Linked DNA regions of Arabidopsis thaliana. The protein of the gene in region 1 interacts with the protein of each later gene in a pairwise test. Each region holds a gene or a part of one and is shown in the gene's direction. Other genes may lie near its edges.

Evidence for each region.
Region 2: the proteins of AT1G30080 (region 1) and FACE2 interact in a protein complementation assay, tested with the Arabidopsis thaliana proteins (one large-scale study listed by BioGRID).
Region 3: the proteins of AT1G30080 (region 1) and UTR2 interact in a protein complementation assay, tested with the Arabidopsis thaliana proteins (one large-scale study listed by BioGRID).

Annotation. Positions count from the first base shown.
Region 1 is NC_003070.9:10,550,051-10,555,552, reverse strand, and holds AT1G30080 (Glycosyl hydrolase superfamily protein), read left to right. Parts: upstream 1-2,257; 5' UTR 2,258-2,385; coding exon 2,386-2,458; intron 2,459-2,574; coding exon 2,575-2,917; intron 2,918-3,089; coding exon 3,090-3,813; coding exon of another isoform or gene 3,814-3,831; exon of another isoform or gene 3,832-4,235; coding exon 4,236-4,322; 3' UTR 4,323-4,698; downstream 4,699-5,502.
Region 2 is NC_003071.7:15,212,147-15,217,442, forward strand, and holds FACE2 (farnesylated protein-converting enzyme 2), read left to right. Parts: upstream 1-2,239; 5' UTR 2,240-2,460; coding exon 2,461-2,670; intron 2,671-2,978; coding exon 2,979-3,038; intron 3,039-3,123; coding exon 3,124-3,330; intron 3,331-3,503; coding exon 3,504-3,615; intron 3,616-3,717; coding exon 3,718-3,789; intron 3,790-3,864; coding exon 3,865-3,927; coding exon of another isoform or gene 3,928-3,983; exon of another isoform or gene 3,984-4,012; coding exon 4,013-4,090; intron 4,091-4,169; coding exon 4,170-4,303; 3' UTR 4,304-4,467; downstream 4,468-5,296. Other genes in the region: AT2G36300 (Integral membrane Yip1 family protein), read right to left, coding at 1,216-1,983. UniProt on the Arabidopsis thaliana protein: Protease involved in the processing of a variety of prenylated proteins containing the C-terminal CAAX motif, where C is a cysteine modified with an isoprenoid lipid, A is an aliphatic amino acid and X is any C-terminal amino acid.
Region 3 is NC_003075.7:12,059,355-12,064,799, reverse strand, and holds UTR2 (UDP-galactose transporter 2), read left to right. Parts: upstream 1-1,941; 5' UTR 1,942-2,313; coding exon 2,314-2,436; intron 2,437-2,797; coding exon 2,798-2,826; intron 2,827-2,907; coding exon 2,908-3,109; intron 3,110-3,199; coding exon 3,200-3,442; coding exon of another isoform or gene 3,443-3,465; intron 3,466-3,511; coding exon of another isoform or gene 3,512-3,539; coding exon 3,540-3,641; intron 3,642-3,724; coding exon 3,725-3,865; intron 3,866-4,061; coding exon 4,062-4,169; intron 4,170-4,217; coding exon of another isoform or gene 4,218-4,251; coding exon 4,252-4,482; coding exon of another isoform or gene 4,483-4,493; 3' UTR 4,494-4,616; downstream 4,617-5,445. Other genes in the region: AT4G23015 (uncharacterized protein), read right to left, coding at 4,218-4,493; AT4G23000 (Calcineurin-like metallo-phosphoesterase superfamily protein), read right to left, coding at 5,153-5,338, 5,417-5,445.

The DNA of each region.
Region 1 (5,502 bases):
AAGCTATAAGCATCGGGATCCAAAATTTCAGACACAGCTAACAAATTGCTTAGTTCACGCCTAAATATTCGATTAGCCACGAGATATAACAACATTTTTCTTTTTAAAACACGAGATTTAACAATATATGTTAATTTTAATTTATAACCTTTATTACATTAGAATCTCGAGTTAAGATTGTTGAATCAGATCGGAGGAATCTAAGATGTCATAAAGCGCACCACATGCATCAGCTCATTTGTCTTATTCCAAAACAAGTAAGTATACACAGGCATATTCATATGTTGTATATTAATGTATATATGTAGGATGTAACAAATAAACAAGTATCGTTATAGTGAAATTCATCTTCCAAAAGTTACTAGATTCTTGTTTAGCAAAAACAAAAAAGTTACTAGATTCTTGGGTTGGTTACGAAAAAAATAAAATTGGGTCACTTTTGTTGCATCATTTCATAAAGCAGGCTACTTTACATATGTTTTCAGATCTCTATTCCATTTAATATATTTGAAATTTTCAGAAATTAATCAATATCCGATATACAGTATAACCTCTATTTGGGACTGCAAAATTTTATTAATTTAGAGAGGTATTAATTTATTGATAAATTAATATTTATTAATTTATAGAGAGATTTTCTTAATTTGGTAACTTTTTAAAAAAATTTATAAGATTTTTTTCATTATAAAAAATATATTTCTAGAACCAGTTACAAATAAAACATAATAATAATGTCTAGAAAACATTATTAAACAAATAACAAAAGTTTTGGTATAGTAAAATATGAAAACTATAATCAAACAAATAACAAATATGAATTTAAACAAAAAATTATTATAAATATATTTTAAAGAAATTTTTTACATATAATATATATATATAGTTGATATATTTATACAATTATTAATTTATGATATCGATGAGACCATATATTTACATAGAACTTTCCAAAAAATTATTATCTTATTAATTTATCGATTTGTGTCATTTTTTACACTAGTCCCAACTCGGGACCGGAAGAATTTATTAATTTATAAAGGTTATTAATTTATAGAGGTTATACTGTAGTAAGAAGTCCGTTCTATAAGAAAAGTAACAACCCAAACTTCCAAAAATCTGTACAAAATGAAGTTGAATTACAATTATCACCTGGTGTATAGTTAGAGCTTTTATTGTTTTAATATCAAACTGAAAGAAAAAAAAAATTGTTTCAGACAACTAAATTATTGGCTAGGGCCAATTAGGCTGTAAATTTACATATCAACTTTGATTAACTTTTCTTTTTGTAAACTTGTTTAAAACCGTTTTTTTCCATTGATTGATTAATCGAGTAATTAATTTATTTTATTTCATCTAAAACATAAATAATGAACCGTTGTGCAACCTAATTTTTTTTGTGATCGAGCGGGTTGACTAGATGAGTTAGGTTGAATTTAGAAATATTTACTTTTACATGTAAGCTAACGGTATATAAATTCTGAATTGAAACGTAGGATCAGTTTTAAATATGCGACTAAACTCCGTTGAATATCAAATATAGGATTAACTGAGGGTCATACTATAATTTCACGTGAAATACAATTCTAACAATCGTTACAATGTTTTTTAAAAGAGCTTTTATTTCACAAGATGCAAATTGCAATACTATATAAATATAATAAACTGAAGATAAGCGCACTATCCTTCTTATCATTATGATGGTGTGATTTCTACTCTTTACGTTCCATTTTTTTGGTTCACCCAACTACCAAATTTGGGATCCTCCAAATTCTATGCCAAAGACATAATGTTTTTTTTTTCTTTGTGTTTAATAGACATATTGTTAAGATTAAAAACCTATTATAGTGGGCAATTCAATTTTTCCCACCTTTGCCTTTGTCTGAAGAAAGTGTCTTCTTTTAGGCCACTTTTTCATTTTTTTTTTTTTTTGGACTGACATAGTTGGCAATGTGTTGGAAAGAGACAATCTAAGATGTCATATTTTTTTCTTCTTGGGTCCAAAATGTTTTATGAAACCCATGTTGCCTCACAAAGAATGTTTTTGGCAAACACTATCTATTTTTACAATAGACTTCCATAAGATAAACCTATTGCCAAACCTACTCCCATTACAAAACTAACGAGTATAAATTTAAATAACTTATTGAATTATTTTTGGAATTAATCATATTGTCACTTTTATTGTAGAAACCCTATGTCTCACCATAAAACAAAGGCAGGCAAAGTAAAGTATTATCTCTAAATTATAAATTAATAATTATTCGTCGCCTACTTGGTCCCATTTCTCAATTCTTCATCTCTATATCTATCCCCACATTTCATTGCATTGATTCTCTTACAAGCACTTTCTCCCTCAGTCTTTATCTCCCTCTTTCTCTCTTCTCCATGTCTAACATGTTTAGCAGAATTGCCATGACCAACTCTATCGTTCTTCTTCTATTTTCCTTGACTTTCTTAGGTATCGTTTTTGAATAATTGCTTATTTCTGTCTACCAACAAACAAAATTCATTATCTCAATTTCAGTTTGTCATTACACTTTAATTATTTAAATTTCTCTTACATTTTTTTCACAGAACATGGATTGTTGTTTCAAAGGGTCTCCTCTCTTGGCATCAACTATGGTCAAGTCGGCGACAATCTTCCTCCACCGGACAAAGTTCTACAACTCTTGAGTTCACTCCATATCAATAAGACAAGAATCTATGACACAAACCCTCGAGTGTTAACCTCATTTGCCAATTCCAATATCGAGCTCTTTGTCACCGTCGAAAATGAAATGCTTCCCAGCTTAGTAGACCCTCAACAAGCTCTCCAATGGGTCACTACCCGTATCAAACCCTACTTTCCGGCCACCAAGATCGGTGGTATCGCCGTCGGCAACGAACTATACACTGACGATGACTCAAGCCTTATAGGGTTTGTTACATACATCCCCTCATTCCTATAAATTGTTATCCTTTTCAAATCTTGGTCCATTACAAATATGCCCTACTAACCAAATCATGGTAGTCATGTGGGTATCATCCTGAGATCCTCTAGTTCAAAAAAAGAAGAAAGTATTCAACCTCGTTATTGCTATGATTCGCAGGTATCTTATGCCTGCAATGATGAGCATTCATGGGGCTTTGGTCCAAACCGGACTAGACAAGTACATTCAAGTATCGACTCCGAACTCACTATCCGTCCTTCAAGAATCTTACCCTCCATCCGCCGGATGTTTTAGGCCGGAAGTAGCTGGCGTAATGACACAGCTACTAGGTTTCTTGCGTAACACGAATTCCCCCTTCTGGATCAACGCTTACCCTTACTTCGCTTACAAGGATTCCCCAACAAAGATCCCATTAGACTACGTCCTCTTCAACCCTAACCCTGGAATGGTTGACCCCTATACCAAGTACCGCTATGACAACATGCTCTACGCTCAAGTAGACGCTGTGATCTTTGCCATGGCGAGGCTTGGCTTCAAAGACATCGAAGTTGGGGTCTCGGAGACTGGATGGCCGTCTAAAGGCGATGGAGATGAGGTTGGAGCCACTGTGGCCAACGCAGCCGTTTATAACAAAAATATTCTAAGGAGACAACTTCAAAATGAAGGAACGCCATTGAGACCAAACTTGAGTTTTGATGTTTATCTATTTGCTCTTTTCAATGAAGACCTTAAACCAGGACCAACCTCTGAGAGGAATTATGGATTGTATCAGCCTGATGAGACCATGACTTACAATGTAGGTTTATTATCGTCGTCATCATTAACATCAACATCAACTACTTCTTCAACTTCTATTATTTCCCTCACTTCCTCTGCCTCCACGGTATGTATCAACATTTAACTTTACTTGCTCTGTTTCTACTAGATCTCTTACTTCCATATTTCTTTCTTTTTAATCTTTATATAGCACATTAAATCCCTTGAAAAAAGCTTTGATTGAGAAACATTTTTAAAACAAATTCTGACCTGTTGTCTAAAAAAGAAGAGAATTGTGACGTTTCTTTCTTCTAATTGTGACGTTTTATACTTGAAAAGTTCGGCTTTTCTAGAACATATTCTTACCAAACATATTTATTTTAACATATTTCTTGATTAATAGCGATAAAGTATACATTTTTTTTGGAGCGATATGATTAGTACATGATATTTATGATTATCCTCACCATCTGATTTTTAGATACATATTAGTTAATTAAAAATTTGCGGTCTTAATTATTGCTTATTATGATATTTTAATTTAAACAGGCTTTAAAGAAGGGAAAGCAACGGTTGATGTATTGGACATGCGTTTATTTGTTGGCCATTCACATGCTAATTAGAAGATCGTACTAGAAGCAAAAACAAATTGAGAGAGCTTCTAAGTGTAAATAGAGAGTCCACTAATGCGGTCCAATTTTTCAACGAGAAGAATTAAATTATTCTCGAAAGTGTCTCAGATGATTCTTTAAAAGGGGAAAAAAACACTCAGAAAAATTGAGAAGGGAATGCAGTACTGCAAAGCGAATCCTATGTATAAAAAACTGACGATTCATATTATAGAACTTTATTTGTATTTGTCTTACTAACGTGTTAATTACTTTCGTTGTCTAAATAAAAAGTGACTAAAATTAATCATCAACTGATAAGGTATACAATAATGATTCGTATACAATAATGATTCATGAATCATATAAGAACGATCGTGTTTATTGTTTAAATCCAAAGGATACAATTTCATTTGAGGCATTTTAGTAACCACATTCATTGCATAATTTCATTTAAAATGTTTGATTTCACATTATGTACTACATATGAATCATATTTCAGAAAGCTAAAGAAATTACTCTAGATATAAAGAAGACCCCATATAGTACTACTTTTACGAGAAGCATAGAATATAATAATAATTATTACTAAGCAGAAAATATTGTCATTTTCAACGCTCCAAATATTACTTTAAAGTACATGATATATAATGTTATCATCAGATATCGTTTAACAGAAACAGAAAAAAAGAAAGATGATATCATATATTTTATATAGAAATTTATTGATTGGTCACACCGAAGGTGAAGGCTCTTTTATCTTTTACCTTTTATCTTTTGGACGTGGAATCCATAAACCTTAGACATACGATACCTTCCTTTTCCATCTCACCGTCAACATTCGATATTTTAATATATTGTCTGCTCTTACACATGCATGCATTATATCTGCATGTATATGTGGTATGGCTTCGTACGTGCACACACATGACACTACTCATACATGCATACATGACACATCTTACATGTATGAATATGTGTATATGTCATATGTGTGGTGGATACTCATTAATTCACCAATTGATGTAAAAGAGGAATGCTCCATTTTTCTAACGGGAGAGAAAGAAGAAGTTAAAAATTATCAAAACAAAACTAAAGTTTATTTATTAGGAGGAAGCATATAAATTGATATGGACGGTTCCAACTTTATTCCACGACCATGTTTTAAGTCGTCAGCATTTTGACAATAGTCATTGGCCGTCCCTTTT
Region 2 (5,296 bases), on another chromosome or scaffold:
AGACACTTGAGAGATAATCTTGTCAATATATGCAAGTGTTACGAGTGTTTAATCAGATGGTTTATCACTATCTGGATATCATGGAAGAACTAGGTGAGTATGAGTATATATGGTTTCCTTTGACAAGATCCTGGTAAGGGAGAGACCAAGCCGCCTAAAAGTTTGGTTTCAATTGAGTCCAAGGATCGAAATTGTAGGGTATGTCTTAAGTACATCCACCAGATATATCAGAAATTTTACATCTTTACATTGTATGTTTAAAACAATTGCCTACTCCCCTTTGAGTCAATTTGGATTCTAAAGAAAAGGTGGAACACAAAAATGGTTCCCTCGGAACGAGTGTTGCAACACGAAAATATAGAGATCATTTCTAACACCAGTTCTACTGAATGTTTTAGGAGAAGGTAAAGCTGACAAATACTATGCTCACTCAATTGGACATAGCTGATTCTTCTCGACACATTAAAACAAATTCCATCTAAGAGAGTATGAATTGCGGATAAATCTCTCTCTAATTTCCGTGACACAGCAAATACTATCAGGAAAAGTAAGTGCAGTTCTGGGATTGACAGTAGAAGACGAACCTGAAGCCAAGATCCCATGTCCCTACTTATCTATGCCACCTAATCAGGGAACATACCAACACCGAGCAAACCACTAAATACTAATCACTCTTTCATTAGACTATGCCTAAGTTTCCAACAGCTCTAAAACCAACTCAAAATTCTACTCTACCTACATGGAGCCATACTTTAAGCAAATCTAATGCCAATCATTCCTAAAACTTGGGACCTTTAAGTATAATCCAAGCAAGAAGTCAGCACATCTTCATAGCCTCACACCGGGAAAGTAAATAGCAAAATAAACATGAAATAGGAAGCATATAAACCTCTTCTGCATTAGTACAGAAGCATATCATCCGCAACATCAATTCCAATACTCTCACAAATCTAATGTCCAGGAACAAACTATGTCAAAAGACATATCGACCAAATTGTATAAATAATTCTTAAGTAAGAACCTTAAAGATCAAGTGACAGATACAAACATTGAATCAAATTTCTTAAACACCTTTCTAAATTTATCCAAAAAAGCCTTTACACACCGTGCTATTCCCACCCAATTCAACCTCACATCAAAGAACTTATATTGCAGCCTTTTTTTGCTACTTGCTAACACAGCATCGGAAGTGATTCACGATCTATCAATATGGAATCAAAATATAACAAGAAGAGAGAAGAGAGTATAGATCAAGAAACAAGCGTACGCGATCAAGCCACGGTGCTCTTCTCCACCATCAGCAAGAGATACCACCAATGTAGAGCAGGCTCTAGTGGACCACAACACAAACAAAGCCGCAAGCACAAACCGAACCGGCCCTGCTCCCTGGGGAACGAACAATGACACCGCCGATAAAACCACCACCGGAAGCAAACAGTATCCGACCAAGCTCGTACACGTATGGAGATTAAGGTTCCCATTTCTACCAGCAAGCATGTTAAAGACGACGTATAGAAAGATAGAGGAGACGACGATCCATCCAAGTATGACACCGAACTGGATCTTACCAGCTAACAACTGAAATAAGCAAAGCGCAAGGTACAGAAAGATCGGACCAGATAGATCTGAATCTTTGTGAACAGCTTGGTTAATCCGAAAAGGATTGAGAATCGATCTAGTCTTCTTCCAGATTTGATCTGGATGGATACCGAGCTCGTCGAGTAATGGCTCCTCATCTTCAAACGAAGCTGAACCTCCACCAAAAGAAGAAGAGGAAGCGATTGTCCCGCCGAATGGTCCGGCAGGTGTAGCGGAAGACGCGGCTGCGGATCCAATGTCGAATGACATGAAAGGGATTGCGGAAGAAGAGGGACGCGGCGGTTGAAACGGTGTCGCTGGGAATCTTCGTTGCTGGACATTAGCACCGCCTGAAGATCCACCGGAGGGGAAAACTACAGGTGGAACTGCGAAATCCTTCGTCATCTTCTTTCCGAAATTGAGATCTCACCAAATCAGCAAAGAGATTCGAAATTAGGGTTTCAAGTTTGGATCAATGAGATGAATTTTTTAACCCAATTCACACGTTCGTGACGTTTCAGAGAAAATTCCTTTCTTTTTTTTGTTCTCTTCTTCTTCTTGACAGTGAAGAGACAACTTTAGAAGAAGGCATCTGAGGGTAGTTTCGTCATTCCGTCTAGTTAATGACGAAATATAACCAATAGGCTTCTTCGAAACTGGCATGGTGACGTATATCTTCTGATGATATTACCGTTATACCCTCTTTTATAAACGAAATTGGCCCAATGGGTCTGTTCGGCCCAGTAGTCATCCGTTTTAGTCTATAACGTGGCACGATGTAATTGGTTAAAGATTAGAAGACCGCCGGACTAAGATTTAACCAGCGGTGACTTCGACACTTATTAGCCGGTATATTTCTTCGCCGGAGCTTCCTCAACGATTATGGCCACCGATGGCGAGAGTATCTCGATGTCGTTGGCGGTGGCTACCTGCGTCGCGATGGCACTATTCTACGTTTTGATCCTTTACGTTCCCACCGTGATACTCCGTCTCCCGTCGGCTTCTTCTTACACCGAATTCATGATTCGGCGATTCATCTGCGCGGCCATTTGTACTGTAGCATCTCTCGTCTTCACAGCTTTTATACTTCCGGTAAGCTTCTTTGAGTACCGCCATTTCTCGATTTGAAGTTCATTCTCCGTTGATCTGTAACCAAATTAGGTCCAAATCTAGATGCATTTGGTGTTTTGATGAAAGTTAAACTAAAAGTAAAGAAATTTGATGTATTTGTAACTTTGTTGAGAGTTGAATTAGCTTTTACTAGTTGTTGTAGGTTCACACAATTTGTCTCTAAGAATGTAACACTCAAATATTGGTGACTATGTTGTGTTTGGTACAATTCAACGCTAGTTACAGGAATCTCTGAAACTTGTCTTCCTTTTTTGCTTGAGTAATGTTAGATAAAAAGCTGGGAGGCCTCTTATATACTTGGAGTTTATGGCATAAGGAAAGATCATCTGGTAAGTTCTTTGTCTCAATTTGTTTACTCGTAGCTTATTGTACACTATTCATATTAAAATGGTTATGTTTTGTGATATGGAACAGTGGCAAGGAGTGGTGTATCCTCTTCTATTGACCTCGCTCGTTTATGCTGGGTCTTTGGTGTTGAAGTTGTTTACTCTCCTGGAATCATGGAAGGAAAATGGCGGAGGATGTAGTTCCTTTAATTACATCAGAAGCTTTTTCCAAACAATCCCTGCTTCGGTATTGACAAGTGCTTCTAATGTTTCCGTTTGGCGCAATTTTATCGTGGTAATCATATGTTTGCCATCTCTGTGTGCTTATCTTGTCAATTCTTTATTGAAATTGCATAAGGCATTGCTTGCTAATTGTCTGAGGACTATATGCATCAGTTTGGTGTATAAGTAAGTTCTAAATCGAACAAGTTATAATCTGTTAGAGCTGGCGTTTCTTATGATTTGCAGGCACCAGTAACTGAGGAGCTGGTTTTCCGATCATGTATGATACCTTTGCTTCTGTGTGCTGGGTTTAGGATTAACACTGCCATCTTTCTGTGCCCAGTTCTCTTTAGCTTGGGTTTGTTTCTTTCTCTCTCTCTCTCTCTCTGTGAATAACAGTTTACAACTCGAGTGAAAAGAAAATTACTGGATTTGTCTGACTTTTATATGTTTTGTGTAGCTCACTTAAACCATTTTAGAGAGATGTACATCAGGCATAACCGCAGCTATCTCCGGGCTTCACTTATTGTTGGTATGTCTTTGCCATCCATAATCATAATAATATTGTTTGTTGATCAGTCCTGAGCTTCACTTGTCCGTTGATCAGGTCTTCAGCTTGGCTACACAGTCATTTTTGGTGCATATGCATCGTTTCTCTTCATCAGAACCGGTAACATTCCAGGCATTTATATATCTTATACATGTAAAAGCCTTTCTAATGGATGATTGTCTCCTGCATTGTGTAAATTTTACAGGACATCTTGCTGCTCCTTTGTTTGCTCATATATTTTGCAACTACATGGGATTGCCTGTGCTATACGCAAATGGAAAAGGTAAGACATAAAGTTCAAGGTTGTTAACAAATGCAAATGCAAAAGAATAAGCTAAACATGGTTATGGTTCTTCTCTCAGGTTTGGTGAGTGCAGCGTTCTTAGGCGGTGTGGTTGGGTTCGTCTTACTTCTCTTTCCTTTAACAAAGCCTCTCATGTACAACGATAGTACCAACGATTGTCCGTGTTGGCTTGGCTATTGTTTGTGGAATTGACACTTCTCCAAGTTTTTTTTTATATATCATCATGTCTTAGAATCTATTTTTTGACACAATATTGGAATTATGGTCTTTTACTGCAAGCTAATGTTTCTTGATAGTTTATGTAGTTTTTTCCTTGTAAATATATAATAATAATAATAATTGGTTCAAGTCTCCAAAATTAGTGTTGGCTAATTGTCCATTTTTTTCCGGTATTATCCCTAATGATTCTCTTGCTATCCTAGGAGGGACAGGAAGAAGGATGATCTACATCCCCAAGTCTAACCTAAACTATATTGTCCAATGTCAACACGCCAAAATTCATTTGATTTATATATAAAAATAGAGAAACAATGATTAGAAATTGAACATAGGTCCATAATCTTACATCAGAGATTCAGAAGATGATGTCTTGCTTGATGATCATCCAAAGAGATTTTGGGGGTAATCATCAAACGGATATAATTTTCTGAAAATTATATTTCAAAGTTGACTTTCAAAGTCTGAGTTTATGATGATGATTTTCACTTAGGAGTTACGAAAATTATGTTTCTAGGATTCGTAGGTCTCTCAGTAATTTTCTCACCACCACTTGATTACTATGTCATATTCCTACGAAATTTGAAGCTTGGATAGTTGAATTTATGGTCAATAAATTATCTGTACACTACACATATATTGTGTTTGTGTGAAGTAAACGGTGATTTAACGGGAGAGGATCTCTTCATAAAGAAGATGTGGTTGATTATGCTTGCATATAACAGAATTTGTTGAACCGGAAAATCATCCTCGACAAAACCAATATGCAGTAATCTACTCTAAAATGTATTTTACCCAAACTATACACTACTACTATCTAGTGAGATTCATTACTATTGTTTATGTGGATAGTTTTAAAAAGATGAAGACCAATACTATTATGATCTATTCATAAATCCTATTCTTATTTTATAGTTGTAAGTTGAGCTTTTATAATAGAGAGCATAAATATTGCTGGTATTTGAACTA
Region 3 (5,445 bases), on another chromosome or scaffold:
TTTACTCGCTTGAGTTTGAATGTAAATGTCTGATTTTTTTTTAACAAAAAAGAATAAAATATATATCTACATAAATCTATAGTTTTCTAGCAATAATATTGTTGTCAATTTGTGAAATGTGATGGGTTGCTTGCATATGCAAAAGTCTCTCGATCGAAGTCTTCCGTTTATTATGAACCACACAAATGGTTTTAAGCAAGAAAAATATCTACGAGTAAGATCAATTTTGTTATGTGTAGAGATTATCATTTGTAACTTTATGTATTAATACAATTGCACGTAAAGCTTGACCTTCTAATAGAAATAAATTTGATAGGAAAAAATCTCTAATACCAATTGCAATTTTTTTGTTGTTGTAATATTGCAGTAAGCTCTCTCATTTAAGCCTTTGAACAAAAAATAAAATAAATATCAGATTTATTGTTGAGTTTCGCGTTGGTATTTCAAGAAAAGAATATGGTCTTTGGCTTTTGACCAAAAAAAAAAAAAGAATATGGTCTTTGGCTCTTTGCGACGCCTATATGCATATATGATATTTGTATGACTATAGACTCATAGTTAATTTATTTTCTATTCCATTTTAACTTATCAGTGTCACTAATCAAAGCTATTATTAAACGGTCTATTTTAAAACAAACCATTTTGTCTATATGCTATTTCATATACGACGATTATAATCGCTTCTTTAGAACTAATAGCCAATAATAATGTATATTTCGACTGTTCACCATACACCGCCACCTAATTCTTCTAAAACATTTCAATTCATTGACTAAATATCGTCATTATTTTGCTTACACATTTTGTATATGTTCCTCCAAATTTGTTCACTAGAGTTTTCAACTAGAACAAAACAACTACTCTGTTGGTGAAAGAATGAATATGCATGTGTGAAGTTTATTGCTCAATATGGATATAGAAGATGAAAAGAAAAAGAGTAAATTGATTTCTTTACCAAAACGTGTCCAGATGTTATGTCAATATGTAATTCTGACATGACCAGAACTTCTGTAACGCATTTAACAATCACTTCCGAAAATAACAAAAACAAAATTCAGGAAAGATGATGAAATTGTAAAAGACAGACTGTAATGGCGTCTATTGAGACAATGACTCAATCTGTCTTAAACCGGAAAGTTGACTCGTAAGCCATATTGATTATCTTTATTAAATTTTCCTTTTTATTCTCTTATTCTCTCGAAGTAGTAACTTTCTTTTGCATCAAATAAAGAAAATATGAAAACGCACCCCTAAAGTTTATCTTATTTTTTTTATTAGTGCCTCTAGTTTTCTAATGTGTAGAGTCAGTGACACACTTTCTTTTTACTTTATATCAAGATTTGATGATATCATATGATTTTAGACTTCTAATTAAGGTTTTTGTAAAAATTGTCACACTACTTTTTTGAATTCTTTCACTTTTTTTAACAAATGTTATTTAGAAAACATAGTCAATATACAGATCCTAAATGTAGATAAAAATTTACAATTTTGACTAGCAAGATCTGATTTGATATGTTTCTTATATATCAATTTTTACCCTTATTTGTTCCATTTTACTTTGATACTTTTTTTTATAGACAAATTTAGATAATTTTATTTGATAAGTCATAGCATTTATTTTTCTTATTTTTATACCAAAATTTATTATAAATACATTTTTCAAACAACACATATACAACACAAACTGTCATTAAAACCCAAATTTTATATATATATATATACCAAGCTGGTAATAATATGATATGATCGTAATTAGCAAACATGAGATCATGCAATAAAAGACTTAAGACAAAAAAATGTGCCACGCTGGTAATGCAAATTTTGTCGTGGTGTGTAGATAAACAAAAGTTTCAGACTTAAATCAAACATACATAAACGTTAAGGGTCTTACTTGCAAATTTGAGTTTTACCGGTAAAAAAAAGAGTAACAGGAAACGTAAAAAGAAGAAGAAGAACGCTCAATGGAGAAAAAACGTGTCCCGAAGTGGCAAATCACGCGACGAGTCTCTTCTTCTTCTTCTTCTTCATGCGTTTTCTCCTTCCTTCTTAAAAGCTCTCTTCTTCCTCCTCCTCTTTTACCAATACATCTATTAACTCTCTCTTCCCTCTTCATCAAGTTTCTCGAGGAGAGTGAAGAATTTGGTTTTAATTATTCTTTGATTACCCTTTTTGTGGTGTGGTTTTCGTTATTTCGAGGAGTGATAATAATACCGTTATGAGTCATCACTTTACATGTGTTTGATCAATTACTCTTAATTCACTTTCTGGGTTTCTTCCTTTGAATCTCTCCTCAAAGAAAAGAAAAGAAAAATGAAGGAGGAACAAACAAGATCTCTGTTTGGAATCTCTTTGTCTGATAAACCAACTTGGCAACAGTTTCTCATTTGCACTTCTGGTTTCTTTTTTGGTTATCTCGTTAACGGTGTTTGCGAGGTTCGTTTCTCTCTTTTTTGCAATTTGATTCGAGAATTTTGATACATAATCAATCAACGTTAATGTTTTTGTTTGTTCTTTGTCATAATTCCACATACCCAGCTCCTGAATCTCGTAAATTTATAATTTTTTTGCATTTTCAATCTCTTGCATGCTAAGTGTTTGATGTTTTGTTTCTGAGAGAAAAAAAAACAGAGGAAGAAGAAAAAATTGCATGACGAACTAAACTCTCTCCAAACTTGTGAGAGATCACAAAAAATCTGTGATCTTTGTAAAGAAAACAGATTTTAGAGAATGTGATTGGATCTACAAGTACTCATATATGATCATTGACTTGATTTATTTTTCTTTGGTTTTGCAGGAATATGTTTATAATCGTCTTCAATTTAGGTAAAAGTCAACTTTTGATTACTCTTTTAAGTTTTAGATTTGAACAAAAGTTAACAATGGGATTTTGCTCTGTCTTTGTAGCTTTGGGTGGTATTTCACGTTTATACAAGGATTTGTCTACTTGTTTCTAATCTACCTTCAAGGCTTTACCACAAAGCATATAGTTAATCCGATGAGAACTTATGTCAAACTCTCTGCTGTTCTCATGGGTTCACATGGTTTAACCAAAGGATCTTTGGCTTATCTCAATTATCCAGCTCAAATCATGTTCAAATCCACCAAGGTAATAGATCCACATTTCCCAATTACAGTCTCAATGAGTTTAAATTGAGTTTAAAGAATGATCGGAATGACCATCTTTCGGATGTTTTAGGTGTTACCGGTGATGATAATGGGAGCGTTTATACCCGGTCTTAGAAGAAAATACCCAGTCCATGAATACATTTCAGCGTTCTTGCTTGTTCTTGGTTTGATCCTATTCACATTAGCCGATGCGCAAATGTCTCCAAATTTCAGTATGATTGGGATTATGATGATAACCGGTGCATTGATCATGGATGCTTTCTTGGGTAATCTGCAAGAAGCTATCTTCACAATGAATCCTGAGACAACTCAGGCAAGGAAACTAAAGAAAACACGGTTCTTTCGGTTTTCCTTTACCGGTCTGTTTTGTTTCGTTTCTGAGATTAACTCTTGTTATGTGTGTTGTGCAGATGGAGATGCTTTTCTGCTCAACAGTTGTTGGATTACCGTTCTTGTTCGTTCCCATGGTTTTAACCGGAGAGGTTTTTCGTGCGTGGACTGCGTGTGCACAAGTAAGTAAACAACCTCTGTTCTCTTTTTTCTGGTTTGACTTTTGGTCAACCTTTAACCAAACCAAGTTAACCTTATGAGATAGTCGTCCATTTTAAGTGAAAGTGACAAAGAGTGGAACCTTTTATTTGGCTTTGAAAGTACTTCTATAGATTTGACTCGGTTTATGATTCAAACCGGAGTTGGACTCAGTTTAGAGAAAAAGTCAAAATTTGTAGGATTCTTGGTACCACGAAATGAGAGAGATCATTGACCGACGACGTGCCTCTGAATCTGCCAAACTTTTTAAAAGCCAAATTGTCTCTTTTAAATTCATTGATTCCATAACTTAAGTACCAACGTGGAATATTTTATAGTCAAACGGTTTAATGATTCATTGGTTGACATATTTAAAACCAATTGTGCTTTGTTTATATTTGCAGCATCCGTATGTGTATGGAGTGCTTGTATTTGAAGCCATGGCCACATTTATCGGTCAAGTCTCCGTTCTCTCGCTTATTGCTCTCTTTGGAGCCGCCACAACTGCCTTGGTAAATATCTAATCTTATCTTTGAATACTCATTTGTATTTTAATTGACTCAATGGTCTAAAATCACATTTCGTTGTGTGTAGATAACAACGGCTAGGAAAGGGGTTACATTGTTGCTGTCGTATTTGATATTCACAAAGCCGTTAACGGAACAGCACGGATCAGGCTTGCTGTTGATAGCAATGGGGATTGTATTGAAGATGGTTCCAATGGATAGTAAAGCTCCGGCCAAGATTCCGGCGAGACCAGCGGTTAGGATCGCAGGAGGCGATGGTGATAGAGAAGAGGACGAAGAAAGGAAGTCATTGGTTTGAGAATGTGCCATGTATTTATATATATTTTATCTCACAAATTCAAAGGGTTTATAGAATAATGTTGGATGAAGGAGACACAAAATAGAGTTAAAGTTGTGTCAGAGACTTGTTATTAGATTCTAAAGTGAAATTGCAAAAGATTGAGCTGTTAAATTGTTAACTATGATATGAATTATTTTTGTCATCACTCTCAGAAGAAAGCATTATTCGTCTCAAAGCCTATTCATAAAGCGGGAAACGCTAATGACTACATTCTAAACGACAGGATCAGTGAAGAACCTGATTCTATCTAAGATCCTCCAGTTTCTTTCTCTGATCTATGAATAACAAACTTATCGACAATCTTTACGGTGTTGACAGGATCCTGCTGCAATGTTGTTGCACACCATTTGCTTGGAAACCTTCTGTGATGACTCATTTTCACAGTCGATCTCGGCTCTGCATCCCAGTCCTTGTCCAGCTTCCATTCCTTTGGCACCTGTACTCATTCATCACATACACTCCTCTGTTTAATTCTATAATCACAAACTTTTTCTTTTGTCATTTCGAGAGTTGTTTTTCTCACCTTGTCTACTCCGAGAGTGAAGACTTCAAGGTCTCCATCAGGTTTGATGTTGGAAACGGGTGAATGATTTGTTAATTGGCGATCCGAAGTGAAGAAAATGCTTCATCAAAGTGTATGTGAAGCCAGTTGATGGATATATATAAGTAACTTCCAAAAACCAAAGATACAACAGGGGTTGAGAAGAACCCAAAAGTAGAGGAACACAGAAGCATAATAGATGGCTTGCTCCGCTTCGAGAAAGTGACTCCCATTCCTTTCTCGACAGATGTTAGTCCGTGTAACCGCCATCACCTATGTCAAATACTTTACTTTCGGCTGAAAAATAGTTTTCTATTTCAGCTAAAACGAAGGCTAAGTTGACGATTTTACCTCGGGAATATCAAATGCTGACATAAGAT